Linked DNA regions of Drosophila melanogaster. The protein of the gene in region 1 interacts with the protein of each later gene in a pairwise test. Each region holds a gene or a part of one and is shown in the gene's direction. Other genes may lie near its edges. The genes, in order: dbo, CG12516, CG43861 and eve.

Region 1 (10,199 bases):
GAAAGTGTGACTCTTTCGAGCACGTACTACACTTTATGCTTTGTATTTACATATATTTTATTATTTTTATAGTTTATTATGAACCCACTGGAAGTGTACCGCTTATCATCTAGAGACCCGCCTACCGTTATCATCCTTGCTGCTACTGCCGACGCTAGCAGAGGCAGAGACGGCGGCAGAGGCAGAGGCTGTGACGACAGCGACGGCGTTATTGATCAGTGGTGCGATTTCCATAATATTTATTTAGATATCGGAGCTCCGTTTGTTTATGTAATACACTTTATTGGCTTTACTTTTTGTGTTTGTCTTTTTCGCAAAATATTTTTGTTTGTTTGTTAATTCACATTCGCGTCTCTCTCTGTCTGCACCAGTCTTTCGATACGCTTGTGTGTTTATGTGTGAGAGAGCGCAACTGTGTGTATGTGTGTGAGAGAGCGCAACTGTGTGTGGGTGTACGAATGTGAGTATGTGTGTGTAAGCGTTTTGTCACGTATTTTTACAACGGCGTTGCTTTTGTAGTAAATATGGCTGCCAAGTTTCGAAAATTTCTGCAATCGTCCGCTTTTGTCGCACGAATTTAAATTTCCAATGCAATTTTTGTACTTGTACTCTAGTTATTCCATCGGTTGCATTACATCCTTTTGCTATTGTTCTCTCGATTTTCGCTCTCTTTCCCTCAACATGTTTTGCATTTGCATTTAATTCTGTTGTTGCTATTGCTGTTTTTGTTGCTGTGTCGTCGTTTTTGTTATTGCTATAGTCGTTGTCGTTTTTGTTGTTTGTGTTCCACTCCATCCACAAAATAATTGAGTGCGCTCCACTTTGGTGCGAGGGAGACGGAAAATTCTTCGCACGCACACAGTCTCACGTTTTTCCGTTTTCTTTTCTCGCCCAGTTCACGTACTTTCCACTTTCCAATCTCAAATTATTATTTGCTCACCGAACTTTTTCGCGATCTAAATTGCCTTTATTTACACGTTGCACTTAAAATTAGCTACTATTTTGCACTATTTAACGGGCTTTTCAACTGCTCAAAACTCGCCTTCCTCTTCAGCGTCGCGTATAGAAATAGTATGAAATAAAAAATACCAGCATGCTGCTCACTAAGATACCAAAATATACCGTTTCTTTAGCGACCAGGGAAGCCAAATACAGTTGGCTCTGTGATAAATGTACTCTTACAAAGCCTGTCTTACGTTATTTGCTTATTTTTTCGGGAATATTAAAAGACAGTTTACTAATGAAAATTTTAAGAGATTATTATAATGATTTCAATAATTCACAGTTAGATTCCCTTCCGTTGCACTTACTTGTAGTTGTATACAAATAGTGTTTATTTTATTTTTAATTATTTAAAAATATGTGATCTCTTATTTTAATTTCGAAAAAAAATGTGAAGAGATATTTCAAACAGATCTCCTTAAAATTAGCTTACGTTTACGATTTAATAACAATATCGATATAACGAAATGTCCACCAAAGTATCACAATATAAATAAGTGTATTCTCAAAAATATCGATACACTGATATTGTTATGCATTTCTCACATCTCTATCGCCATACCAATCGTTTCGTGTTTCGACTTTTCCAGGCCAACCAAAAAACGATTTTTCCGTACTGAAAAGTGCAATTCGCGCAAGGAAAATCTTCGATGTGGTCCTTTTAAGCCATCAAGATTGCATTTTCGAAATTTTCCGCCTGCAGCTGGCCCTGGACGTGCTTTGTATCCGTAGAGAACAGAGACGCAAAGGTTGGGACACCAACATATACATCGAAATCTAAACCAACATCATCCGCGTGTGTGTGTGTGTGGTGTGTGCTTGTGGGTGGACCAGGTTACCTTTCAGTTTTAAGGTGTTCCATGGAGTGAATGTTGTAAAAGCGATTGAACATATATCACATGAATAAAAGAGATTTCAGTTTTAATTAAATTAGGTTGAAGATAATTCCACAAGCATATTATTGAACTAGAGAACTGTTTATCTTAACCATCGATTAACTCAACCTGCCAATTTGTTTACCAATTAAAGTACATGTTTTAATTTTAAAACTTAGCTATTTTAAGATTCAAAACAGAAGTTTCAAGTAACGATCTTTTAGCTTAAAGTTTCTAAATATTTAAGGATTATTAATATTTATTTTATATCATTTATACGAATGGTGGATTGTTAAACTTAACGTGTTGAATGAATACCTTAAATAACACTCGTATTAGTGTTAAGATGTTTCTTTAGTCGAAAGGTCCACCTTAGTATCCGCAGATCCGAAGTTGTGAATGTGTGCGTGTTACACAGCATGTCTGTGTGTGGGTGGTGCAAAAGGGCGGAGGACAAGAAAAATAAATCAGAATTTCCACATCCAGTGCCCAGAATATGAATTATTTGCATCAAAAATGTACAATTACTTAATTTATTAAGTAAACAGTCGCTTCAAGAAGATATTAAACGAAGCACAATGTCCTTGTAAATTGATTAGTTACTTACTTACTTATAATCGAGTTCAATGCCGCCCTTCTACGCCCTACCTACGCATTGATTTAATTTACTTTGACTTGACCATTAATCACTATTCTACTATATACTACCATTTCTGCCCACAGATAGACGCCGTGTGGGGTTGGGTTGCTTCCGGCCCGCTGCGCTTAGCAGCGAACAGAATGGGCGACCTGCCGGGCTCGGGCTCCACCGCTCAACCACGGGATGCTGGTAAGGATTTGATAGGAGCTTGGTTTGGAATTGGGAAGAGAGCAAGCCAGGGGCAACCTGTGTGCCTCATGTGACTTTAAATACTTCATATTTGTTCGTAAGACTATGATCTTTCAGCTAAAAAATACTATTAGAAAAGGTTTTTCCTTCATAAAAAAGTATTTGAACTCTCATTCACAATTCCAATTAATCGGTACCATTAAGTTTATTTGTACTATTCCAAACATATGGTATTTTTATACTCAAAATCATTATGTATGCCAACAGCTGTCACCGGTACCGGTGGTAATTCCACGGCTGGTGGCGGCTCCTCCGTTGGATCTACGGCAGTGGACCGACCTCCGTCGCCCGCCCGCCTCTCTCACACGTCCGAGAAACATCCGAAGGTCACGCTCACTGAACTAAATATGCTACGGCGCCATCGGGAGCTCTGCGATGTGGTGCTCAACGTGGGCGGACGGAAGATCTTTGCCCACCGGGTAATCCTGTCCGCCTGCAGCTCCTACTTCTGTGCCATGTTCACTGGCGAATTGGAGGAATCGCGCCAGACTGAGGTCACCATACGCGACATCGATGAGAATGCCATGGAGCTGCTCATCGACTTTTGTTACACCGCCCACATAATCGTCGAGGAGTCGAATGTCCAGACCCTCCTTCCCGCCGCCTGCCTGCTTCAACTGGTTGAGATTCAGGACATCTGCTGCGAGTTCCTCAAACGGCAATTGGATCCCACCAACTGCCTGGGCATACGCGCCTTTGCCGACACACACTCCTGCCGGGAACTTCTACGGATCGCCGACAAATTCACGCAGCACAACTTCCAGGAGGTGATGGAGAGCGAGGAGTTTCTGCTGCTCCCCGTCGGCCAGCTGGTGGACATCATTTGCAGCGACGAGCTAAACGTGCGCTCCGAGGAGCAGGTCTTCAACGCGGTCATGTCCTGGCTCAAGTACAATGTCGCCGAGCGGCGACAACATCTGGCACAGGTGAGCTACTGTAAACCATATCTGATTACTACTCACCGATTCCTACTTGTTCCGTTTGATAATTACTTTGGAATAATATAAACAGCTCAATTTTTAAGTATTGCAACTAATAAATAAATAATGAATTGATATTTTCGAATATTCTCAGGTGCTCCAACACGTCCGTCTGCCTCTGCTGTCGCCAAAGTTCCTGGTTGGCACGGTGGGCTCTGATCTCCTGGTGCGCAGCGACGAGGCCTGCCGGGATTTGGTGGATGAGGCTAAGAACTATCTGTTGCTTCCGCAGGAGCGACCGCTGATGCAGGGTCCACGCACCAGACCGCGAAAGCCAACTCGACGAGGCGAAGTCCTGTTCGCCGTGGGCGGTTGGTGTTCCGGCGATGCTATTGCCTCCGTGGAGCGTTTCGATCCTCAGACCAACGACTGGAAAATGGTCGCTCCCATGAGCAAACGACGCTGCGGAGTTGGCGTGGCCGTGTTAAATGATCTACTTTACGCCGTGGGCGGTCACGATGGCCAGAGCTATCTGAATAGCATCGAGCGTTATGATCCACAAACGAATCAATGGTCCTGCGACGTTGCGCCCACCACTTCCTGCCGCACCAGCGTCGGCGTGGCTGTGCTCGACGGCTTCTTGTACGCGGTGGGTGGCCAGGATGGCGTTCAATGTTTGAACCACGTGGAGCGCTACGATCCAAAAGAGAACAAATGGTCGAAAGTGGCACCGATGACAACAAGGCGACTGGGAGTGGCGGTAGCCGTGCTTGGAGGATTTCTCTACGCAATTGGCGGCTCCGATGGACAGTGCCCGTTGAACACCGTAGAGCGATATGATCCCAGGTAAATCATAAATAAAGCATTTAAAAGCTTTAGACGTACAAGTACATTTTCTATCGCTTGTAACAAATGACCTTAATGTACATTGCACTTGAACGTAGTATTTGTTTGATTTACATTGCCCCGATTTTATCATTACAGACACAACAAATGGGTAGCAGTCAGCCCGATGTCAACGCGACGCAAGCACCTGGGCTGTGCTGTGTTCAATAACTACATTTACGCCGTCGGCGGGCGAGACGATTGCATGGAGCTCTCGTCCGCCGAGCGCTACAATCCACTGACCAATACCTGGAGCCCCATCGTGGCCATGACCTCCCGCCGCAGTGGGGTGAGTTTTTGTTACACTTTTTCTCGGCGAATAGTATTGTATTAAATGAAATCGCACCATTTTAGGTTGGCCTGGCCGTCGTCAATGGACAGCTGTATGCTGTGGGCGGCTTTGATGGTTCCGCCTATTTGAAAACCATCGAGGTCTACGACCCAGAGACGAACCAATGGCGTTTGTGCGGCTGCATGAACTACCGCCGACTGGGCGGCGGCGTGGGCGTTATGCGTGCCCCTCAGACTGAGAACTATATGTGGTGCGAAAATAGTTTTAAGCAACCGAATTCCTGAAACTAACTCAACTCCCATCCCTTCCATTGCTGATGAAATGTTGTCTTGTCTCTCTTTTCCCCCCGAAAACATGCTAACAAATTCAGGATACGGAAAGATTCTGTTGTCTGATGGGAACAGCAGCCGACAACGTTGCCCTCGCAAACGTTGCCGCCGCCGCACTTCTACTAACAATATCCGCAATCGAAGCCAAATCTAATCGACTAAACAAAACATCTTTTCGCCCCATTGTCTACTAGCAGTGTAATCGCTTTGTATTAATTGTTAATTGTTTATTTGGTAGAGCCTAAAGCGCATGTTTGTTAGACTTTTCCGGAATAGTATTAGAGTTAGCATTGTTCCCACGTTCACCTGCAATAACACATCCCCATCACTCCTGTGCGTAATTATATATGATTCTACTGTATGTTAAGCAAGTATATTTTATAAATAACTTAATATCTAAATGTTGCCGGTGGTATTTCATGGAAATCGCTAGCTCATAACCATGCCTTCTTTCGAAAAAAACAAAACAAAATCAAATATTAACCTAGAAACGAATTCGATTAGTTGTAAATCCTTAAACGAAGAGCTCTAAAGTCAAGTAACAAATTGGTATTAAAATAATTTAGATTTAAGGAGTGAATTCAAGAAAGTTTGTCCGAAATTAAACATCACAATGGTGCAATATTTCGATCGACCAACTAAACGCTGTTGTTTAGTCAAGTACACTTTAAATCTTTGCAAACGTCTTCAATAATACCACGACTATATGAAGTGAACCGAATAATTGCAAAGAATTTAAAAAAATAATGAATATTCAGCCTGTCAAGCTTAAAAAAAAACCATTAAGGTAATCACACACACACACAATGAAGAAGTTAGACCTAGCCCAAGATAATTCAATAGTAACAATTAACAATTACGCAGCCGTAAGATCAACTTTAAGGTAATAAATTTTAATATTGTTAATCCTAGATCGTGTAAACCGGTAAGAGTTTTCGGCCGGAATCAGGTCAAGTTTTAAGATGACTTATTGTTAAACCAAGTTTGACCATCGAGCTGAATGAACCAACTCGAATTAATCGCTTAGATAAGGGAGTTAAAACACAAGTAGACTCTCAATAACAACACATTTTCTTTGTTGCCTTTTACACCAACACTATTAAACAATTATTTATTCAAAATTATTATTTATTACACGCTTTCGTATCTCATTTAGTTTATTTTAGGTGCACATTTATAAACTGTTGTTAAATCGAGCAAAAAGGAATGATCTTTGCTTCCAAATGATGAATAAGAATAGCATTTATAAAAAACCAAGCTTATTTATATTATAGCTTTAAGTCAAAATGGTCAACAATTATACAAAAATTCGCATACCACCCATTATGCGTAGTTAAAAAATAACATTTCCTAGTTGTGTTGAGTGGTAAAAGTGCTTAACGCAAATAATAGAAGTGTTAACCTAAGAAATGATCGTAAACCCGTGCTATGTATAAGAATATATAAAAATAAAAATATATCAAAATTAAGACACTTTGTTTCATTCAATACATTACAGCCAAGGGCGGAAATTGCTGCCAAAAAATAATTAAAAATAAATATCCAAGTGTACTATTTTGTATTATATTCTATAATTTATAAATTTGTAATGCAATCAATGTACCGTTACGCGGTACTGGTACGCATCGGTACAATAGTTACGATATTGGATCCTTTACCGATAGCCGATGCTCGAACCCGATTGTTTTTGTTTTAGGCCTTAATTCGCACACACTGATTTGGTGGCACTACACACATTTTGTTATTTTAAACATTTTTCAAGAAGTCAATATTATGATAACAATTTTATGAAAATAATTGAACTAAATGCATTCGGAACATTTCGATATACACTGCCGACCAGTGTGAACGCTTCGCGACGTGGAGAAACTTCAGGCACGTCAGCTATCGATAAATTAAAATGTGTATTCGATTAGCGTACGTTAAACAGCTGTTTATTCTGGCGCTCTTTCATACGTTCGCTGAAATAGTTTTGTATTTCTGGCCGGAAATGATGTCCCAAATTCCGGATTTGGCCGGCGGAAATGGGCAACAGAAGCGAAAGATTCTGAGCGGCGGCGAATACAATAAGATTTGCCGGTTTATCAACGGCTTCCACGGCTTGGCCATCGACTGCGAGTTCGAGTTGAGGAATCGCTTCTTCAGGGACGTGGAGCCAATGGCATTGACATGCATCCTGCAGTCGGAGCTTTTTAACCGGTCGCGTGGTCACTGGAAGCAGGATCAGCGCGGGAAAAGGCTTCTCAAAGCGTAAGGCCACAATCTCGTGTTCTTTCCTGACACCATGACCAATAATAATCCAAATTGCTTGGATTCAGCTACGAGGAGCAGAAAAACCTATACTACGACAATGCCCTACTGATCCGAATGGCTTGTGCCGAAGCACTGAACCCGGTGGCTCTCTGCAGGATGTTGCTGCAGGAGAAGTACAAGGATCGGCATCGATCGCACATCTCACAGCTTCTTAGGCATCCGCATCTTATCGACGATCCCAAGCTGGCGGCCAATGTGCAGCAGTGCATAGTCAGCGACAATCAAGAGGGATCCATAACGGACCTGCGACGCCGCATAGTTGGCGAGGAGTACGAGCTTAAGCTTAAGAATCTGGCTAAGGAGGCGGGTATCCATTTCTACGACGAGAAAGATTTGCGACGCATGGGATATGACAAGACGCCGGACATCAAGATGATCCTGCCATTTCTTTACAAAGGCTCTGTGATCAACTGGATCGAGAGCAAGGCCAATTTTGGGGACACCAAGGGACACAAGTCGAACATCCAACAGCAGCTGCAAAGCTACTGCAATCGGTAATATGAAAGAATTCATTCTATAACTATTCTAATTACATATATATATATATATATATTGTCAGTTTTGGTCCTGGAATGATAATCTATTGGTTTGGGTACCACGAGGAAACGCCTGCGCTGCCGGATAACAACATTGGCATTACAGTACTCGCTGATTTTCCGGCAAAAGAAGATTTGGTTTTTATGCAACTCGCGCATGAAGAATACTCCGCTGAGACTCCGACAACGAAAGAGGACAGCAGTTCCGGGAGTCAACCTATTGTAGCTGAATGTCCAACCAAAGAACTGAAAAAACTTTCATGAAACTGAAAGTGCAGGGAAATCGTTAATGTATACTTTTTAACTATAGAACGAAATGTGCTTGTTAAAACAATGTACATAGAAAGCCTAAATTTTAAGTGGGATGTTGCCAAATGTTAAGTAGCATTGAAACCATCAAAGACAGGAATGCTTTGCATTTATACACTAACCATAAGATTAGACAATGCTTCTGCAGCAATAACTTTTCTCTTTAGTTTTAACAATTATACTGTTTTTATTGTATTTATAAATTCTCATTTACATGATGTATTCAAAGGTTTTTTAGTAAAAAAATCGTATACAAAACTACGACATTGTCAGCATCGTTGTTCATAATAGACCAAATCAAAGACAAAGCACAAGTAATTATTGTTACTCAAATTGCTAGTTGCCTTTCAGGGAAAATAAAAATCAAAACAAAAGTATTTATTTTACTATGTGTAAATTTTCTTTGTATTGTTGTGGTAGCCATATGTGTTATTTTCAAAGTATAAACCAAAAGTCAGCAGTGTGTATATAAAAAATTCAGCTGGGCCCTTAGCTTTGGAAACTATGTTCTAACTTTACGCGCCCTCCTCTCATCGACTTAAATGTTGATGTTTGTTTTGTCGGGGCTGTTGTAAAGTTATTGTTTCAAAAGTTTCGTACTGGTAGGAAATTCGTCGATTTCGATCAGCTTGATATATTTATATATGCACGCAGCCACATCGGTCATCAGACCTCCTTCAGCTCATCGGGCATGTCATTCTTGGGATGCTTGTTCTCGAAATGCTGCTTGTAAGTCTTCGGATCGGGCATTTGCGACTGAAATGGAGACGAGATTCGATTAGGTTTCAAATAAACCACAAAGTACGAGTAATAAATATAAAATAAGGCATTACTATAACATTCATCTGAATCGAATTCTTTAGTTTAAAGCTCCTGAGATGTCGAATGTTTTGCGATAAATTTTCTTTAGTATTTGCGTTTTAAAACCTCGACGTTAAAGTAAGCGAGTTCTTGCGTGATTCTTCGAGCTGTCTCAAAACCATTTGATTAACCCACTGCAGTTGCTGACTTAGGGAGGTTTCACTGTAGCTGGCTTACCTTGCAAACGGCGCACACATAGACAAGTGCCTTCTGGGCCGCCTTCTTCTGGTCGTTGGCACTGTGTCCTTGTTGCTTCTTTAGTTTGGCCTGCTTCTCGGAGGCCTTCGCCTGCGACTGGATCTTCTGGTGTCCACGTGCCATTTCTTGCTGTTTAAGTGGAAATGGATGAGTTAGCATATGTAGTAGTACCGTCTATGTGCTTCACGGGATTCGCAACAAAGGTGGCGGAAGCGCAGTCACTTTCACTTTCTCCCACACAGCTGAATAGGTGACTCTTGGGATTACCAAACGGAAAGCACAGTTTCCGGTCAGTATACTATAGTTAAGATACCAATTATTTATGTTTTGGAAAATCTGACACGACACTGTACTCGAACAACAACAAAGCACGCCCACAAGTGAAAATGTGGATTGCGACCACGTTCTGCGCCCTTTTTGCGAATCCACCGCTGCTTACCTAATTAACCCGATTAAATTTGGTTGGCTGTACTAAATGCAGGTGTGATGCAGCCTTTGCAGTTACGTAAAATTCGTTGTTACAAACTGTTTTGATTTTTTACCCGAAATTATTAACGATTAACCGTAAATTTGTATCAATTTGTCGGGTTTTGTTTCGCTGCCAGGATTAAATGGGACCAGAGCTGAACTATATCCAAAATGTTTGGGCATAAATATATGTGGGTTCGCGTCTTGGACTAACAGCTATCCTGACTTAAACCACTTAACGGTACTCGTAATAAATTTTCCTATTTCTAATTATTTGTATAATTTTTAAGCATTTCAACATTTTTATTTTTCGTAATAAAAT
Region 2 (6,127 bases), on another chromosome or scaffold:
CGAGGCGTGGTTTAATTTATTATAAGTCGACATGGATTTGAAACGGATTTAAGAGCACTCAATTACCATTGCCAACGCATCTGCAAACATTGATAAGCCGCTTAACTGGCCATACTTTTCTCACAATTTATGGCTCGGATGCGCGTGCACACATAAAAGTGCGGTTCGCTTATAATGAATGCTTAATAAGCATTTGTCGAATACATAAGCAATGTCCATTAAAATTGATTTCATTTGCTATGCAATTTACAATTCATCTTCTGCTATAAAACGCAGCCAGGCAGCAGAATTTCGCGGCACTTATCCGCACCATCCAAACCAACCAAAGCATTCGAAATCATTCGAAAGCAACCCGTTCAAAACTCAACCCACAAGTGCGGACTTCGCATAAACTATTCATTTCAGTTCGATAACAAAGCCAGTGCCAAAGCCCCAAGCAGCCCATATGTGTTCATTCCATTGAGTTATTCGCCGCATTAACGAAATCAACATTTAAATTGCAAATTGTGTGCATTTTGATTGAAAAATGCCGCGTTGACGACCCCGCCTCGGATCACAGATAGACCAAAGGAGGTGGAGATTCGGTTCGGTTTGGTTTTGTTTCACTGTACTCGCTGGCAGCTGCTGTCTTCACACATCCACAACCACCCGCATGCAATTTGCTGCTCTTTTGTGCAATAAAAATAACACACAACCAACGAACATTTCATGCGCATTAATGTGCGACATTTGAGAAATGGGCTCTGGACTCTCAAACTCTTCCTTTCATCTGAGTGGAGCATACACGTATTATTTTGTTTCATTACAGGGTATTTGTTAAGTACTTGGATGTATTCCCTTTGATGGAAGATAAGTAACAGTCGAAGGGTAGCAAATAGATCATACGATTTATTTATACTATCATTGTACTATAGAGTATTAAAAATATTTTAATGTATAGTTTATATGTATTATCAATACCATCGTAAGGAATCTGGCTAAAATGCTAGGTATTTTTTATTCGTATCGCAGTCTACCTTTAATATTTTTGCATACCGGAAAAGTGCAATAAAAATGCAAAAGCGAATGCGAATTGATTGAACAGAATCGGACAGGACATATACTTACATTCAGTCACGCACCATGGTTAATGGAGAGGGGTATGTTCGGGGAGGGGAAGGCCCAAGCAAAAGGGGGAAAACGAGAAAATTATTCATTAACACATGCGTAAAATGCGAAAGGAGCATTGCCATAAATAAATAATTGATAAATTGCAGATGAATTTTCATATTTAATGATGTTTAAGTGAGTGGGGCCTGCAAATGCCAGTTTTGTTCGCATCTGGGTGTGCAATAATATTATGTTAAAATATACGATTACAATTCGGAGTTCGGTTTCCTTTACTTCACGTTTTTACGACTCCAGTTGCCTGCGATGTCGCACAAGAGTGCGGCGTATGAAAATTGATTGTTGCTTTATTTATGGCCTCGCACTCGCAGAGTAGACATAAAAAATTAAGACGAACATAAAATGCAATCATGCAGCTCGGTCTGGATAAAAATCTAGCTGCCTTCGCTACATCCCAAATACGTTTAGTCCATTCGTCTGATTTGGTTTTACGTGCGTCGGGAGACTTTGCACGTTCTCCTCAGGGTTGTCATAAAGCGAAACTAAGAAAAAAAAATTAAAAATATGTAACATTAAACTAGCTCAAGTTCAATAATCATACTCTTAAAACTATGCTTAATTTTGAATAAAACATGAAAGTATTATATTCATTTTCAATGCGAAACTTGACAACCCTGAGTCCGGCCTGAAAGGGCGACATTGAGGTCGCTACATGCCTCTTTGGGTCGTGTAATAAAAGGCATAAAACTTTGCCTCTAACGAGCATCGTTTTTACGATCCTACTGTTTGACATCGAACCGAAAAAAATGTGTACTGATATGCAGGAATTGGAAGGAGCTCCCTTTGGAATCCTTGCAGCCTGACAAATGTTAAGCAAAATGAACCCTTAATGATTTGTAATGTGTGCTGGTTTTAAAGTGCCTAAAGAGCAACACATAAAAGGGGTTAACTTGATGGGAGCTTCACTAAATTTAAACCAGATAATTGATCATTGCAACCTAATTAATGCCATCAAACATGATTACATAAATGTCGACAATAATTTATGGACATCAATGAATTCAGCGAACGGAAATGCAAAGAGAGCAAGTTGGTGGAATATTTAATGCTGTTAATAAAGAAATATGGCTATAACCTATGCTAACTTTTATGTTCGCTTAAACTATTTAAACACAATTTTTTCCATTCTACATATTTGTATTGCTCAGCAAAGTGTTCATGCCGCACTGCCAAAGTGTAGACGGTTTATTAGGTTTTGAATTTAGTCAGACACAAAGCAGCTCCATTGTTCCACTCGACTGAGATAATCTTCATCCAACTGCAGGCACTTCAGCCTCGAATGCCCAGCAAAATATGTAATTAAACTTAATGAGTGTAAAATGCTCATGTCCTGGCTCAGACTCGTTCTCGTGCTCAGTTTCAGGAGCTGGCTGCGATTTTGGCAACAGCATCGAATCAAATGCTGTCAAGCAAATCAAGTCATTCATTTGTCAATTAGTTGACAATGGGTCAACTTGAGCTTAACTGCTTCTGCAGGCCAAAACCAAAAAGCAGTTCCGACAAATGCTAGAGCGTAATTGCATTTAAGATTTGCTGAAGTCCAGTCAAGAATTAACTTGGCCTTAGGTCTGCTCCGAGTGGAGTCACATTTTGTAATTTGGTATCGCTGATGAAATGCATTTCATTAATATTTATTTGCCCCAGGCATGTCAAGCAAGACAGCTTGGCTTTGGTTTTCTTCGCTGCCACAGGCCAGTTATTGTGGAAAAATAGCAAAATCATATTCCGCAAAATCCCGAGTCTCAGTCCAAATTTTGTGAAATATGCTGTTCATTTTCGGCTCTGATAGATTAATTTTAATGGAGCCCCGTTGAAATGATTATTTATGTTTATTGTTCTAGGACGTACGCGCTTTAACAAATTTTAATCACTTTTCGTTTTTAAATTTATTTCCCCCCATAAACTCTTTTAATTTTCAAGTAGTATTCAACATAATTTGTGGCGGTCTTAAACCATAATATATTATTTTAATGGTGCGTCAGAATCAGGAGGTTCTTCAGTGTGCTTTTGTTTTTATTTCACAACCGAATTCAAATTTATACTTTCAACCTTCGAAATTATCAATATAGCTATTTAAATTATAGCTGGCATAATGATCAGCCCGGTAATAACTCGACAAATGGTGCAAATCCTGCCAAGTGTTATGGTCGGTAGGATAACACTTCCCGATATTATTGAGGATGCAATCAAGCCCCCAACGGAAGATATTAATTTCGAAGAAAAATCGAATGAGAATGAGGTGGAAGATAATACAGAGAAATCGGAAGCGGTTTCTGAATCCGAAAAAGAGGTAATTGAGGTATCTGAGGAGCCGAAGGAAGAAGAGGTAAAGTACGCTTGGAATGCACCCTGCATGATGGTCATCTTCGAGGATGGCGATGTCAATTGTGCCCTGCATCACCTGGTCGAATCTCTACAGGATCCCTTTGCCTTAGATGCGGTTGCCGTGATCTTGGTACAAGAAGCTTTAGCCGAAGAAATCGAAAACCGAGTAAAAATTCTGATGAAACCCTTGGATGCCAGGGTGGCCAATCATCCGTGCTACAAGCGCACTCTGATGAAGATTGACGAACTTAGGCCGAAAACTATAATAGGTCCTTCAGATCGTGTCTTACCCGATGCCACGCCCATAATGGTGCGGGACATACCACACAAATTTCTGGGCGATGGACCCACTGGCATTATAACCATGCATATTTTTCGCACCCCTTTCGAAGCCACTCAGATATATAGAAAGGAATATCCCCTACCAATCGCATCGGTTAGTATATGGAATGAGCGGGTTTCGAGTGTTTACGATGTAATTGGCATGATGAATCTACTCGATACCTTTAAGATCAACTGTTTCACGGTCGATATGGAGCCCATTAAGCGGGCATTCGAGCTAAGGAAGTATAGTGCTTGTATACATCGTGGTTATCACTATGAAACCCTGCCCATAAATGGCGAGAGAAAGATTATCATATATCCAGTTGGAACTATATTTGGCAATTGAAGTGTAAGCTGGGTAAATACAATACCATTATTCGAATCTTATCGCCACTTATTTAATTTTACTCAAAAATGAATGGTATCCTTACCAATTAGGGAATCATTCAATCCTTACCTTTAGGTGTTGTGTCAGTATCTAATGCATGCAATCTAATTCAATGGGCTGGGGATTTCAACAGCTATTTACACACAGAAAGCCTGTTGAGAACATTCAACTCGCACTTTTCGTTCGCTAATCTAAATTAATGCCTCTCACTGCGAATCGGAATAGGCTGTGCAGCGATGTTTTATCATTCAATTAAAAAAAGGGAGGAAAGCAGCTAAAAACGCGTGCATGGCAAATGCGCGAAATAAACCAGAGGATTTTCGCACATTCCCCTCTACGTAAAAATAGTGGGCGGAAGAGTGGAAGCAATTTGCACCACCCAACGGACGGAATAATGAAGTGTTTAGTTGATTATCTAAACGCACGGCGCCGTATCCGGATCCGGGAGCACTGGGCCTAGTAGTGCTGGAATTGCTTGGGGTTTTCGGGTAGCGGTTGAGTCAATAATGCGCCAAATAAACAGCTAACAAGTTGGTAATAAAAGAACTCTAAAATTGCCCGAGGTCCGACCGATTTGGTAGAATGCCAGGCCCCACCCATCGAGCATTTATTCACCCACACGCAACTGCAGGTAGTGGCAGGTAACACCGGCCTGAAAAGTTCCAAACAAAAGCACAGCCGTCGGCCATGGCGAATATAGCCATATATAGAGGCGTTGAGTGCCGCGGGGGCGTGGCACGCATTGTCTGCAGGTAAGCCTTTTTGCGGTGGTGCCCACCGCTGAGCAACAACGCCACGCATTTGCATTGATAACCGAAAATGTTGGGACTTGAAACGAGTTTAGTTTGGCCTGCTTTCGTGTACAACTACTATATTTCACCGGTAAATCAAACAGACAATGGGCTTGAAGCCCCGTAGATTGTTGGAGAACAGCTGCGGTCAAAATGATGTAAACTGGAGCACATGAAAGTGTGGGCATTCTTAAACATTGTGTATACGCCATGTTATCGAAAAACACAAAAACTTATTTTTCGTTGCATACTTTTAGGCATATAATGCATTATGTACACGTCAGGTAAAAAGAAGTCGTACACCCCAACAGCCTAGCAAGGAAGCTAGGAACTGCAGCTGTGGTCAATGCTGACCCTCGGACTAGAGTCAAAAGAAGACTCAAGCGACACCACCCTCATGACCTCCCTAACCTGGTTTTGACCTAGAAAGTCTTAGTTTTAAAATTCATTAGAATAATCAAATAAATAATAATTACTATGTTATATCAACTATTATAATTCTCCCTATCTTTTTTAGGATTAAAAATCTGTTAGTCTTAAGTAACCAAGACACATTGTAAAATAAAATAATTTAAGCAGATCAAATTAAGTTGCCGCATGGGTAACAGTGCGTTGATCAAATAATAAAAACATCATCGTAAAAAAAAAAAAAAAAAAAAAAAAAAAAAAGGTAAAAAGAAGTCATTTTGTTGTTATTGTTTCCAGTGCATACTTTTAGATCGATTTGGAAATTATGTGTACGCCCTGTTAACCTAAGCAATTAACACTAAATTCATAGTTTTACGCAGTTTACAACATGTCGAATACTTATCTTACAATTAAATTTTTTCTAATTTCTCTAGATTAATTTTAAAAAATTCTGAAAAATTAGTTAGTTAGTTAGTAGTTTCAGCAGCTGCTACTAGTTACATCACCGCAATTGTTTTCCAGGTAAAAGGAGGCGTATGCGTAAAGCCTTTGGTTCTCGGCTCGCCACGATGTTTACTGGATGTCTTAATTAAATTTGATTAGCTGTGTGCGCAAATTAGTTAGTTTTGCATAGGAATTGATGAGCGTGATGAGTTTGCCGACTAATTGGCTAATTGATTGATTGTTGGAGTGGTTGCCTCTCCTCAAAACATACCACCCAGAA
Region 3 (7,732 bases), on another chromosome or scaffold:
CGGTACGCAGCCAAGGACACCTGACAGTTCCACCTCATCCTCCCACCCCCATCTAGCCACCCAGCCAGCCACCCATCCGGCCACCCATCCTGCCACCCACCCAACCACAGGCTTGAGTGAGAAATGTAAAGCAGTGGGACAGCGGGAATCTGCATCTCAGTCAACTGGTTTTCACGGCTCGTTCCCGATGGCAGACCTTTTGGATTCTGCCCAGGGAATCCTTGGATGTTTATGTTCGTTTAAGAAGACAACTTGTTGCTAAACAAATTCTTAGCTGGCAACGATTTTAAATGAATGGTTGGGTCTACAAATGGTTTGTATGATATATCCACATCCACACAGACCAACCACATTCACAGCTATAAAATCCATAAATAGCTCAAGAGCTATTATCAAACCACTTTCATGTACGCTCACTTCACAAGAGTATATCAATCCCAATGAATCCCACTTGAGTTGGCGATTCTGGTTTTCACTTCGGTCGGTCTTAGTAAGATTGTTGTTACAGTGCGTGGTCAATCGGCATAATAAATCATTATAACGCCCACCGAAGCCAAAACTCCGATCACCGATTAAGTCATCATCAGCACAGGGCCAGAAGACCGAAAGGAAATTAAGTGGACTCAGCGACATGGCCAAGATCGGCGGTGGAAACAATGCGTCGTCGTCATTACTGGCGTGCCCAAAACTCGCCTTGGGGTCAGGGTCGGGTTTGGACCTGGGTTCGGGATCGGTTTCTCGACTTCTTCGGCTTGACGGGGTCCATTGACGCCAGCCGAGCGCCGTTGGCGGGGCTCACTTAAAAACTAATAGAGATTTAATCTGTTTGACTTGCCAATGAAGTCATTTAGAATGTAAATATTGCGACGAGTACAGATGGCTAAAGCAGCGTTCTCAAATGGAGCGTTCCGAGTGTGCAAAGCCTGTTTTAAGCTGAATGGAAGATAGTCTTATCCATAAGGAAGATACTTCTAATCTATTTACTTTTCTACTAACATTGTGACTTAATATGAGGTTAGACAGGAAAACTCAATAGAAACTTGGGTTCATTGGCTACAAGATTGGGTTTCGTCACCTCACAAGACGATATACCTGTTATTATCCCCACTTCCTGGCTTGCAGTTCTTTTCTAACACCGATTGCATCAAAGTCCTCCTCCGCTCAAGTGGATTATGTTTCTTTTTGCATCTTGCAACTACTACTACTACTATTACTACTACTATCGCCTGTCCTGAGGCACCTGTTGAACCCACACCGATGGCCATATTATTTACCTACATCTCAATCTCAACCATAATCACAATATTTACACCTTTCTCCGTCGCTCTTTCGATGCTGGCTTCCGCTCCTCGATGGAGGAAACAGTGTTACACAAATGCAAATCAATTGTAAATACAAATAGAAAACCTGGCCGAAAGCAGTGGAGCAAAAGGTAACATTTACTATAAATAACAAAACACCGTTAGCCTGAGGAAATCTTCGCCAAAGTTGGAGTAGTAGATACACCTGAAAACTGCATACAATCGATGTAAAAATTTTATATATAAAATTTCTCGATGCTATACAAATGAAATATAATTTGGTAAGTGTCCTCAAGTTTTGAGTAAACTGTGGCTGAAAATGCACTTCTACTTGTTTACCTAAAATGTTGCCAAATAGTTAGTTGCACAGTTTTTCTTTCGGTATTGCGACTGCAACTAGAAGCCTTGCGTTTTCTTGCCCTGGTGTGAATTTATTGCTTAATCATGCGACTTTAAAACGGCACGGCTGGCAGGTAAAGGCAGCTGGGTTTTGGATTCGGTTTTAACAAGGTGAGTGCTTGTCCAACTGGACGCGCTCCGTTTTATTTTCTGGCCATATTCTACGGCATCTTGCCGGTAGAAGAACGAAGTTCATTTGTGACTGCAGCTCAGTGTCGTTTGTTTTATTCGCCGAGTGGATGATGAATATATAATATAGATAGATAGATATATAGATAGATATATAGATGGTTAGATAGATAGGTAGATAGATAGATAGATAGATGGTAAGATAGATAGATAGATAGATAGATAGGTAGATAGATAGGTAGATAGATAGATAGATAGATGGATAGATAGATAGGTAAATAGATAGATATATATAGATAGATAGATATATAAATAGATAGATAGATAGACAGATAGATAGATATACAGATAGATATAAAGATAGATAGATAGATAGATCAACCGATAGATATATGTTAGATAGATAGATAGTTTGATTGCAACCTGCCAGCATGTTCGATTCTGGGCTGGCATGTTGAAGTTCGATTCGAACAAGCTGGTGTTTGAGTCCAACAATCTTGGGCTTAAATTCTTCTTAAAGTATAAAATAACAATTCCCTTAAAATTGAGATTTAGAGTTTTACTTTTGAGTTCTGGCTAAACTTATTTTTATTAGATAAACAACAATCCTACTTCTCGAACCCTTGCTTCTGCCTCTGCGGTCATTTTCGTGACCAGATTCGGAATTGTGAATAGTTAGGTTGTGAGCTCTTCTAGAACAGCTGATATGCAAATATGATAGAGGTTAGAATTGACCATGTTTTGATTATTTATAAATCAAATCAAGTATTAATAATATCATGTGATGATGAATTTTGTCGATTTAAAAAATGTGAAAGTTTTTGTTAGGTATGTAAATAGCAAACTAATAACAGAGGGAAATTTAGTTCCGTGTAAATCTTTCGACAGAGAGTCTTAGAACAGGATGTCTTGGAAACTAAAAGACGTGAGAATTAAGAACAATGCTAAATAATTTTAAATGAAATATATCCATTAAATATTTCTTATTAATGAGATATTTAAATAAGGATTTCTTTACACAGTTCAGTATTTTACATCGAATTTGAATATCACTCATACGCCTGTGTTAAAAATTATATTTTCACCTGGTTAGGAAGGAGAAAAACTGAACGGAGGCAAGGCAACATGTTCGAATCGAACTCGCGATGCTTTCGCGCGGGTAACTAACTGCGAACATAAAGCTCACCACTCAGTCTAAAAACGAGTTTCAACGCGTTCGGCTGCCGACCCGCTCGATTTTTGAATTCATTTTTTGGCCAGGCCCACTGAAAAAAAAAAGAGAAAAAACCAATCGAAAACAAAGCCTCATTGCGCCCCATTAGGCAAATGCTAAATTAGTCCGTTGTGTAAAGGTGTAAAGCATTATTTTGTCGAAATTCGCCTGCCGCAACAAACCCCATTTGCTTGTGTTGGTTTAAGCCCAATTGTTTGGCCAAAGTACCGCGGAGTTTTGTAAAAATATTTCTGGAAAATCTTCCCCAAAGTGCAGTGATTGTGTTTGTGTGCTCGTATCGTTTGTAGAACGGTAACAGGTAAAACAACATCAACAATCCGAGTCCGAACGAGCGGCCGATGTCGGTGAATATAACCATTAAAATGAAGTTAAAGTCGCTCCCGAGCTGCATACAAATGCTGCTGTAAATAAGTCTAAACAAACACTTGCATTTGGTGAGTTTCAATTGCCTCAATGGGCTTTTTTTTTGGGTCTGAGGTCGGGGGTGTTGGCCACATGTGGAATAAATCATAATTAGTGGGGCTTAAGTCTCGAATTGGGTTATGGGTACAACGGAAACTTAAGTGTGGGAATCAGTGCTAGTTGTCTTTATTTGTGAAACTATTTCGAACTGCGTTAATTGTGGCCCAGTGGTTGCCGTGTATACTTATCGCATTAGCGCGCTCAAGGAGCTGGAAATAATAGATACGCTAATAGATACATATGTGGTTTTAAAATTGGAGTAGATATAAGAAATCAAAATAAATATTCAAGCTACTTTTTCGCTTTACCTTGCTTAACAGGTACTTTAAATTGTGTTTTGATTTTAATCAGATACATTTCTGACCATCTGCAAGTTTATACTAATCCAAAACTATATCTATATAACTATATAACTCCACACCAACTTTTCCCTTCACTTTGTGAACACATTTTTCGGGATTACATTCTAAACAGAATTTCCGTTAGTATGAACCAAAATGTAGCTACTTAGTTTTCCGTTTTATTTGTTTCATTTTCTACTGCTCTCTGACAATTTTTGTCGCGAAAAAGTTTTTGGGATAGAAAGTTTATATTGTGAGCTAATTTGAGTTTGCATGGATAAAAGGGTAGAATTACGTTATATTTGTAAGTGTACATTTGGCCATGTGAAGCCATTTACCAATTCCAGGTAGTACACATTGTAGTCTTGTTTAAGCCGTTAACTCTGGGCGGACTTGAGTTCCTTGACTCTCGGTACTGTTCTGAATTATATGGAAGCAACCCGCAAATTTTCAGTGCTTGTGGAAATTATTTTCCGACAGTTGCTAATAAACCTGCCTACTTCATGGGCACAGCTCGCAACGGTCATTACTCATGCCAAATCTTCTGTCACTTCACACCTTCTCCGTCTAATTCTACGGTCAACTTGTCAACACGATGTGAAGTGGGGTCTGTGTGCGTGAGAGCTCTTAAGCCTTATGCAACAGCTCAAATTAGCCATGCAATTTGTACTTAACTATTTGCAGCGTCTTGTTGCAAGTTGGGGTCTTGGGGAATCGAAATGGAGGCTGGCGACTGGGGGCTGGTGACTGGAGAATGGAGAATGGAGAATGGGGTAATGGCTTCCACAGGGCACTCGCTGCAGAGGCGGGAATAATAAAATGTCCAAGGACTTGGAGCGGACAAGCGACAAGTTTATCACTTGTTAAGCCAAACGCTGCAGACATGCAGCCGGCTTCATCCTGCACCATTCCTACCCAGACGCCCAGTCCTACTCCTATTCCTACTGCATCCGAGCACCCCGCTCCGGGAATCCAACTCTAGACAACGTCGGCGTCGAGTGGCAGGCCCAGATGGGCGCGGCAGATAAGGAACTGGGCCCAGACCCAAAAGAGCAGGCCAAGAATAGGGCGTTCTGGGTCCGATCCTATTTGCATGCCACTCGCTTGAAGTGGGCCACACTCGGTCCGGATGAAAGCGGATATCAGAATACACAGAGACAAGATGTGAAGCGTTTGTAATCCAAATCCATTTACTCATCCGATCTTAAGTCCTCCAGGGAGGAGGTAGGTGTACTTTAAATCCTAATCTGAGTTTGGCCTCATACAGTCAAAATGTATATAAGATAAAACAAGAAAAACATGCATTTTAGTGCAATATATGTTGGATAGTTTGCGAATACTGGCGTTCGTCACCAAAGTTTCCTGATTTATTTTCTGTGCACGATTGGATGAGACAAAGGAAACATATAAAAAACATTTATTATTAATTGGTGCGTGCTAGTATTTATAAACCTGCTTTACAATTTCATGTAAATTATTTCTTTTATTCGTAAAAAGCTAGCCATATTGCATTAAAATACATCCGAATTTTTTTGTTGCTCTACAAACAACTACAAAATAGTTAATAATATCTTTAGACTGCAATCACTGTTTGGAATAAAGTTTTGCCATCTATAAGCCATCAGGCAAATCGTTTGCTATTATATTCATAATCCCAATCTAAAGCCAATTGGATGCCATTTTTGAGTATCCTTAGGCAGCTGGGACTTAAAGTTGAGTCTAACGATATGGTCCCGACCTTTTCGGGAGTTCCTCGAAATGGGATATCATCCACAGCCCGTCGCCCAAAACGGAGGCTTTCGCAGACGCAGCTGCTCCTCTTTCATTTGGGCCATTTAAATAATGGCTGCAAATGGCTGGGTGACAATAAAGAAGACCGGCAGCCACCACAAGTGAAGTTACCCAACAAAGCAGACTTCGGCTATAAATAGTTGAGAAAAAGTCAGGAAACGAATGTCAACTGAAAAATTACGTATACGCAGACATCGATGCTCATCGATAGTGAGACATGGGCTCGCTTTCGTTTCCGCTGTTGAGTCGAGCGTGTTGACTTTTCATTTTCCAATTTTTATTTAAATTTTTGTCTGTCGAACGGCGTCACTCTTGTTTATGACCATTTAATTGACACGCTACCTGGCAGTCGAAGCTCTTCTGGGAATATTTCCATTTATTGAGGCCATGGGACATAATTGATTATGAACTGGGGAAATTGTGCCAGTCAATAAAGAAAATCGCACTGTCAAGATCGAGGAGACAGCAGCTTTAAATGTGTGCACATGTCTGGTTAGCATTTTGGAAAATTGTGTATCAATGTCACTCAAGTGCAGCGTCCTTCGACTTCGAAATTTGATCCCTTTCTAATTAAAATATCTGTCCTTAAATATCAAACACAATGCAAATATTATGAATGTGCAAATATGTCAACGAATTATCCGTCAGATTGTCAGTAAGGAAATCTAGGAAGTCATTCTAAATGAAATGTTACACTGGAAAACAATATTCGAGGAATCGAAGATATGCATTCAAAAATAGCATGTAAAGCAATAATTCAAGTTATCATTTAATTTTATAATTTTCAGCAATATATAGATTTATTTTCTAAGTGCACCAAACGAGCCATTAGAAGGTAAGCAATCAGTTAATCTACCTCACAACTCAAGAGCTACAATTGAAATCCTCTATTAAATCAGCTCTCCACTCACAAGAGCACTTTGTAATTAACTCTTACAAATCTATTAGAATAAACTTTCCCAAGAAGCTCGACCAATTAGTATTATTAAAGTGTTGTGCTGTTCGCAGGCAAGAGTCCCTCCATTTAGCCAGGCCAAAAGAACAGGTGGCTAAACAATGCTAGTCACTCCTTTGGATCTGCCCGAGGTCGTCACTTTGATTTGCACAAGGTATTTGCAGGGAGCAGCAACAATGGCATTGCTTTTACGCAACTTTAATTAGCAGGACAAACAAGCTGTTCTGACACGCCAGGAGGTAATACCTTTGACTACACGCCCACCCACCCCTCTCGTCCTTTGGATGGCGTTTTTCCCTGGCAACCGGACAACCGTTGACAAACGGAAGGTAGCGGGAGAAATGGCGGGGTTGTTGTGGCACCCAAAATATGCTAAACACAAAGTCAGAGTTGAAATTTAATTAAAATGTTGCTGGCAAAAGCATTGAACTGTGGATATGCAAAATGCTCGCTTTCAGGGCCCATGCTGCGTATGCGCAATTTTTTGCCTATTACCAGCAATTAATGCGGCTATCTTCTTAGGCAGCCTGCTAATTGAATTTTTGGTTGTCCCAAGGGCTTCTTTGAGTTTGGCAGTCGCTGACCCTTTTGTTTTTCCTCTCGCACGTGTCCTGCAAAATTGATAAGCCATAAATATTCGTTATGCCTAAAAGCAACAGTTTGGCCACACAGCATAAACATAAAAGGGATGCCAATGCCCCCAAAAACCTTCTTTTCAGCTTGAATTCTATCCCTTTTCTCTCAAACAAAATGCCCAACAAAGAGCACGAAAAGTTTTGTTCTTGCAAGATTCCATGTTATGCTTCATTAACTTAATGCTGTTTTCACAATAAATTTTCATTCTTTCCATTTCGGCGCTAACAAAGAGCATTTCAAACACGCTTATGCTAATCCCAAGGAATTTCCATTTCGATTTTTCCCCTATATCTCGATGGCTTCCTGGTTCTCCTGTTGTTGATTTCGCAGATAGTGTGCATAATTTGGAAGTTTTCTTCCTTTTTTATAGCAGGACTGCAACTGGCTTAGATAACCATAAATGTTGCACGAGTGTTGAGGATGCCGAAAAATGATTTATTTTGCATGTACCCAACACTGCGGAGTTAACCCTTTTTAATAACAA
Region 4 (7,017 bases), on another chromosome or scaffold:
CTCCTAATTACGGCAGTTAGTCGTTGTCCGGGACAGGAGAGTATGCGGAAGGACATGCGTGAGTTTATTGCCCGCTCGAATTTCCACTAAAAATTGGGCCGAAAAAAAAACAACTAGGTAGGACTAGGAACTGCAAACTAGCAAAGCGGACGCGCCTTTTTATTGGTGCACCTTCGGCGGAACCGCAGGATAACAGCAGTAAAAGCGACGACGAGGACACAAGGATCCTCGAAATCGAGAGCGACCTCGCTGCATTAGAAAACTAGATCAGTTTTTTGTTTTGGCCGACCGATTTTTGTGCCCGGTGCTCTCTTTACGGTTTATGGCCGCGTTCCCATTTCCCAGCTTCTTTGTTCCGGGCTCAGAAATCTGTATGGAATTATGGTATATGCAGATTTTTATGGGTCCCGGCGATCCGGTTCGCGGAACGGGAGTGTCCTGCCGCGAGAGGTCCTCGCCGGCGATCCTTGTCGCCCGTATTAGGAAAGTAGATCACGTTTTTTGTTCCCATTGTGCGCTTTTTTCGCTGCGCTAGTTTTTTTCCCCGAACCCAGCGAACTGCTCTAATTTTTTAATTCTTCACGGCTTTTCATTGGGCTCCTGGAAAAACGCGGACAAGGTTATAACGCTCTACTTACCTGCAATTGTGGCCATAACTCGCACTGCTCTCGTTTTTAAGATCCGTTTGTTTGTGTTTGTTTGTCCGCGATGGCATTCACGTTTTTACGAGCTCGTTCCTTCGGGTCCAAAATTATGCCAGTTTGTTTTGTCTCTGGCAATTATTGGAAATTTCATTGGGTCGATTTCGCTGCCTTCCTTGCTCTTCCCTTGAGAAAAGTGAATAGGTTGTGCCATAAAAATCGCTGCTCCTGAAGACCAAATGAAATGGATTTGTGTAAGCATTAAAAACGCGAGGCAAGCCCCAAGATTCCTCCACTGCTTTTTTTATATTGCCCACTGCTAAATGCAGCTAATTCGTCGATTGTTTAAAAATTAAATTACTTATGTTGCCATTCATACATCCCCTCACATTTTATGGCCATTTGAGTGCGGGGTGCACAGTTCTGTCTTAAGTGGCGGATGGAAACCACCACATTTACTCGAGGGATGATGTGCTCTAATATCTCCTCATCAAATGGGATGGTTTCTATGGAAAGGCAAAATCGTTGTAAAGTGAGGCGGAGTTAAAAAATACCTTGTTATAGCCTTTTTAAAATAACACAAGATCGTTCGAATTGACTAGAAATATCAAAGTCTTTTTGTATTGAAGCGAGTGTAGTCTCAATTTATGCTTAATTTTAAGAAATACATCTCTTTATTAGCCCCAAAATGAAACAAATGGTCTACTAATTAAGCAAGTCAACAGAATTTTTATGCAATTATTCAAAATGAAATAATATATACATAAGATGTTTTTGGGAATCTGTCATGGGGTTTCTGAAATAGGTTTGCCAAACAAATTTTAAGTATAAATGTATACATATGTCAACTAATAAATTTAGCAAATAAAATGTACCTGCAAGTATCTATAAATTTATTGGACCAATTTTGTGTAAAAAACTGAACTGGCACTCTTCCCAAGAATGGGACTTCGAGGACTCCTTGCTGAATCACTTACTCAACCCATTCCAACTCATCCAATCCGCGCAATCATCATAAATTTTGGCCTTTTTGTTGTAATTGTTTTATGGCAGAAATTACTCAATCATCAAGCATAATTCCCTCGTTTTCGCCGTTTTATTGCCAATTTTTGCACTGCCTTTGCCTTTTTCCCGCCCTTTCCTCAGCGTTTTGCGAATCTTTGCCGGCATTTCTATTGCGCGGACAATCCGGCCAGTGTGTTGGCCATTTACTTGCCATGATGACGGGCATAATCAGCGAGATCGGCGCTTTGTGAGTGCAGAATGTGCAATAAAGCGGCAACAATCGGCAGGGATTCGCCTTCCCATATTCCGGGTATTGCCGGCCCGGGAAAATGCGAAAGTGTTTGCGGATCGAGATGGAAGATAGAGGATTGAGTATTGAAACGAGGAAGGTACTTCCGCCGGCGGACACTTTCGCCTAACCAAGCCAATCCAACCCATCCCAATCCAATCCAACCCACCCGATCGCCATAAAGGGTATTTACTGTCGCTGCCGCAGAGCCTCGCTTGACGACTTAACCCAAGCGGTCGTTTCGCGTCCATTCTCCGGACGGAGTCAAAGACAAAGGCCGGCGGAGGTGGACAATAGGCAAGGTTGTTGCTTGTGGGTAGGGTTTGAGCTATGAGCTATGAGCTGTGAGCTGTTAGCCCTGAACCCCGAACCTCGAGAATTGAACCTTTCCCGGGGCAAGAAGGCTTGCATGTGGGCCTTTTCCAGGTCGGCCAGTAGGTAGAGTTGTTGCGATGCGGCTATGCCGGGCGAGTTAATGCCAATGCAAATTGCGGGCGCAATATAACCCAATAATTTGAAGTAACTGGCAGGAGCGAGGTATCCTTCCTGGTTACCCGGTACTGCATAACAATGGAACCCGAACCGTAACTGGGACAGATCGAAAAGCTGGCCTGGTTTCTCGCTGTGTGTGCCGTGTTAATCCGTTTGCCATCAGCGAGATTATTAGTCAATTGCAGTTGCAGCGTTTCGCTTTCGTCCTCGTTTCACTTTCGAGTTAGACTTTATTGCAGCATCTTGAACAATCGTCGCAGTTTGGTAACACGCTGTGCCATACTTTCATTTAGACGGAATCGAGGGACCCTGGACTATAATCGCACAACGAGACCGGGTTGCGAAGTCAGGGCATTCCGCCGATCTAGCCATCGCCATCTTCTGCGGGCGTTTGTTTGTTTGTTTGCTGGGATTAGCCAAGGGCTTGACTTGGAATCCAATCCCGATCCCTAGCCCGATCCCAATCCCAATCCCAATCCCTTGTCCTTTTCATTAGAAAGTCATAAAAACACATAATAATGATGTCGAAGGGATTAGGGGCGCGCAGGTCCAGGCAACGCAATTAACGGACTAGCGAACTGGGTTATTTTTTTGCGCCGACTTAGCCCTGATCCGCGAGCTTAACCCGTTTTGAGCCGGGCAGCAGGTAGTTGTGGGTGGACCCCACGATTTTTTTGGCCAAACCTCCAAGCTAACTTGCGCAAGTGGCAAGTGGCCGGTTTGCTGGCCCAAAAGAGGAGGCACTATCCCGGTCCTGGTACAGTTGGTACGCTGGGAATGATTATATCATCATAATAAATGTTTTGCCCAACGAAACCGAAAACTTTTCAAATTAAGTCCCGGCAACTGGGTTCCCATTTTCCATTTTCCATGTTCTGCGGGCAGGGGCGGCCATTATCTCGCTACAGCAGTTCCCAAATGGTTATGGCTGGACACCCCTGCCGCCGCTCCAACGGGGTGGATGAAGCCCCCAAAACCCGAAAGTCATGGCAGCCATGGCAGTGTGGGGCTGTTAAACGTGCGGCATAATATTAAGACTTCATAAAAGCGCAAATAATTCGCTGGCAGGCGATCGATAATACATACATACAAATATATAGTGGGATACACACACTCTCTGCCGGCAAACACACACCACCCGACCCGACTGAGCGGCATAATGCCATATCATTCTTGATGAAGCCGATAAAATCCCATTATTAAGGGGGCCCGCCCGTCCCGCTCGCTCCTGCGGAGCAACCGCCTGCGGGCGGGCGAGACAAAAGATTCGCTCATCCGCTATGAATACCAAATCGGAACTCTCTCTCTCTCCAGCTCGGGAGTGCCATGGCCAGCATGGCCAGGACCTCCTCATGGTCCTGCCGAGCAGAGAACGCGGCTCCATCCCGCTGCTCCGGGTCCTGCTCCTCCGCTTTGTCCCGCCTCGTTATCGCCGCTCAGCACCGAGAGCACAGCAGCGCATCCACTCTCAGCACCGCACGATTAGCACCGTTCCGCTCAGGCTGTCCCGCTCGCACCTGCCTGGGTCGCTGCGATTGGCCGCTCCCAGCGACGGCGGCCATTTGCCTGCAGAGCGCAGCGGTATAAAAGGGCGCGGGGTGGCTGAGAGCAGCACACTCGAGCTGTGACCGCCGCACAGTCAACAACTAACTGCCTTCGTTAATATCCTCTGAATAAGCCAACTTTGAATCACAAGACGCATACCAAACATGCACGGATACCGAACCTACAACATGGAGAGCCACCATGCCCATCACGACGCCAGTCCCGTGGACCAGAAGCCCCTGGTTGTGGACCTCTTGGCCACCCAGTACGGCAAGCCCCAGACACCGCCTCCCTCGCCAAATGGTAAGTTTAAAGATAAAGCCGAGCAAACGTGACGAGTTACTTACACCCAATCTTTCCTCTGTCCAAAACAGAATGCCTATCCAGTCCGGATAACTCCTTGAACGGCAGCCGCGGCTCGGAGATTCCCGCCGACCCGTCGGTACGCCGCTATCGCACCGCCTTCACCCGTGACCAGCTGGGTCGCTTGGAGAAGGAGTTCTACAAGGAGAACTACGTGTCCCGTCCCCGTCGCTGCGAACTGGCCGCCCAGCTGAACCTCCCGGAGAGCACGATCAAGGTGTGGTTCCAGAACCGCCGCATGAAGGACAAGCGTCAGAGGATCGCCGTCGCCTGGCCCTACGCAGCCGTCTACTCCGATCCCGCCTTCGCCGCCTCCATCCTCCAGGCCGCCGCCAACAGCGTGGGCATGCCCTATCCGCCCTACGCCCCCGCTGCTGCCGCCGCTGCTGCCGCCGCCGCTGCCGTGGCCACCAATCCGATGATGGCCACCGGAATGCCCCCGATGGGCATGCCCCAGATGCCCACAATGCAGATGCCCGGACACTCGGGACATGCCGGCCATCCATCGCCCTACGGACAGTACCGCTACACGCCCTACCACATCCCCGCCCGCCCGGCGCCGCCACATCCCGCTGGTCCTCATATGCATCATCCGCACATGATGGGATCCAGCGCAACGGGATCGTCGTACTCCGCCGGTGCCGCCGGCCTTTTGGGCGCTCTGCCCTCCGCCACCTGCTATACCGGACTGGGTGTGGGTGTGCCCAAGACCCAGACGCCGCCGCTGGATCTGCAGTCGTCGTCATCGCCGCACTCCTCCACGCTGTCGCTCTCGCCAGTGGGATCCGATCACGCCAAGGTGTTCGACCGCAGTCCAGTGGCTCAATCCGCTCCATCAGTTCCTGCTCCCGCTCCACTGACCACCACCAGCCCGCTGCCCGCTCCAGGCCTCCTGATGCCCAGTGCCAAGCGGCCTGCCTCCGACATGTCGCCGCCGCCGACGACAACTGTGATTGCGGAGCCCAAGCCGAAGCTCTTCAAGCCCTACAAGACTGAGGCGTAAGCCCGCGATCCACACACACTCTCTCCCCCCCCCCCATGCTCCCCCAAAAGATTGTACAAACTAGTCTTAGTCAGCCTCATCTATTTATTCCCGAAGATTGTACAGATTGTAGAGTAGCTAATTGTAGTCATAATTAAGGCGCAAAATCAAATTAAGAAATAAATGCGAAAATAACATTGAAAATTATACGACACACACTGTTTATTTGAACTACCTGGTACCTGGTATTATCTACATATATATCAACATATATTCATATACCTGAGCTGAATCGCTTTTATGGACCTGGCTCTCTGGATTAGCTGTGGAGAAACCTGGCGGGACAGCTGCGCTGCTGACTGCTGACCTTCCCAGGGAAACTGTGGCAAATCGAACGGAAGAGCGGCAGAGCGGCAGAGCCGCAGAGCGTGCCGAGTGTCCTTCGGAGTGGCCACCCACAATCAGGAGTAAGGGTTCCCGATGCGGCACCGGCGGGGAAGGGAACAACATCCACGGGGGATTGGCACAAGCCAATGGCTTATTAATGCGATCCGAACGGATCCAAGCGGGAGGGCCCATTGCAAATGCAGAGCCACCCCGCTGGGCGGCGACCTTGGCGAGGAGTTGGGCCCACTCCCTGCCACGCGTCAGGTTGCATTGCCAATGGAATCAATTTCGGTGTCCTCGGATTGCATTGGGCTCGGCTAATTAATTGTCACCTCACCCGTTGAGTGACTTTTTTGTTTGTTGGTCCTGGCCTTATGTTTGCTTTCTCTTCTCCATCGCCAGGCAATTGTCATAATTGAGAAATCATCGGAAGGACGAGCCAGTGCGAGAAAGAGACAGAGAGAGAGAGAGAGAGGGCTGGTGGTAGAGTCCTTCTCGAATCAAATCCCAATTTAATTACCGTGCAAAACATGTGTTTCAATTGCTCAGCCGTGGTGTAAAGGGGTGTCAATTGCTCATAATCCCACAGCTAAAAAACGAGAGTCAACCCAAAGGCAGGATAAACGATGGGTAAACGATGCGAGCGAGGCACAAGGATGTAGATACCAGCCACGGATGCTGATACACCCAGCCAGCCACCCCTGATCCCGGCTGTGTCTAATATCTAATTGAGCGCCTGGCATCAAAACATGTTTTGACACTTGCCAGCCGAGCCAAATGGGCATAAAAAATGGTCCTTGAAGTGTTATCCTTGCAGTTGGAGTGCCACGCACACACCCCTTTCCTTTGCTGGTGTTTTGCGGAGTTTCGTCTCGTGTTTTCACTTGGGGGATGCGAACACACAAGTGGCAGCATTTTATGATTTGATAATAAAGATACGCGCCACGGTTCCGCCCTGGGGAATTCCCCAGCAGATTCGGATACAGTAAATTAAAAAATAGCCAAACAGGAAATCTCTGCAGGATTGCCGGCGGGGGAATCCGATTGCTGGGTGGTTGACGCGACGTGGCGCAGGTTGATAATTAATCATATGGGGATTAGGGATTAGGCTTGTTGAAATCCAGAAATCATCAAGTTGTTTATTGCAAAATTATGCGACTAGCTGCCCGAATGGCAGGCGAGAGGATTAGTTTGTCCAAAGGGCAGATGGGAACTGATGAATCCGAATATCACATCTACAGCTGCTCGTCCGGCGGCATAAAAGAGTTAACTGATTTCGAGGGAGTAAGTGTGATATTATTATCAATTAGGCA

The links.
Region 2: the proteins of dbo (region 1) and CG12516 interact in a two-hybrid assay, tested with the Drosophila melanogaster proteins (one large-scale study listed by BioGRID).
Region 3: the proteins of dbo (region 1) and CG43861 interact in a two-hybrid assay, tested with the Drosophila melanogaster proteins (one large-scale study listed by BioGRID).
Region 4: the proteins of dbo (region 1) and eve interact in a two-hybrid assay, tested with the Drosophila melanogaster proteins (one large-scale study listed by BioGRID).

The regions. Positions count from the first base shown.
Region 1 is NT_037436.4:15,825,346-15,835,544, forward strand, and holds dbo (diablo), read left to right. Parts: upstream 1-1,542; 5' UTR 1,543-1,751; intron 1,752-2,600; 5' UTR 2,601-2,657; coding exon 2,658-2,706; intron 2,707-2,973; coding exon 2,974-3,692; intron 3,693-3,840; coding exon 3,841-4,532; intron 4,533-4,670; coding exon 4,671-4,860; intron 4,861-4,925; coding exon 4,926-5,147; 3' UTR 5,148-5,233; coding exon of another isoform or gene 5,234-5,258; 3' UTR 5,259-6,659; downstream 6,660-10,199. Other genes in the region: DCP2 (decapping protein 2), read right to left, coding at 126-234; CG12713 (uncharacterized protein), read left to right, coding at 7,183-7,442, 7,511-7,999, 8,065-8,305; CG18081 (uncharacterized protein), read right to left, coding at 9,017-9,106, 9,389-9,532. UniProt on the Drosophila melanogaster protein: Probable substrate-specific adapter of an E3 ubiquitin-protein ligase complex which mediates the ubiquitination and subsequent proteasomal degradation of target proteins. May have a role in synapse differentiation and growth.
Region 2 is NT_033777.3:28,301,700-28,307,826, reverse strand, and holds CG12516 (uncharacterized protein), read left to right. Parts: upstream 1-3,221; 5' UTR 3,222-3,259; coding exon 3,260-4,162; 3' UTR 4,163-4,196; downstream 4,197-6,127.
Region 3 is NT_033779.5:20,012,585-20,020,316, reverse strand, and holds the start of CG43861 (uncharacterized protein), read left to right. Parts: upstream 1-3,034; 5' UTR 3,035-3,497; intron 3,498-7,732.
Region 4 is NT_033778.4:9,975,279-9,982,295, forward strand, and holds eve (even skipped), read left to right. Parts: upstream 1-4,040; 5' UTR 4,041-4,136; coding exon 4,137-4,275; exon of another isoform or gene 4,276-4,306; intron 4,307-4,346; coding exon 4,347-5,338; 3' UTR 5,339-5,517; downstream 5,518-7,017. UniProt on the Drosophila melanogaster protein: May play a role in determining neuronal identity. May be directly involved in specifying identity of individual neurons.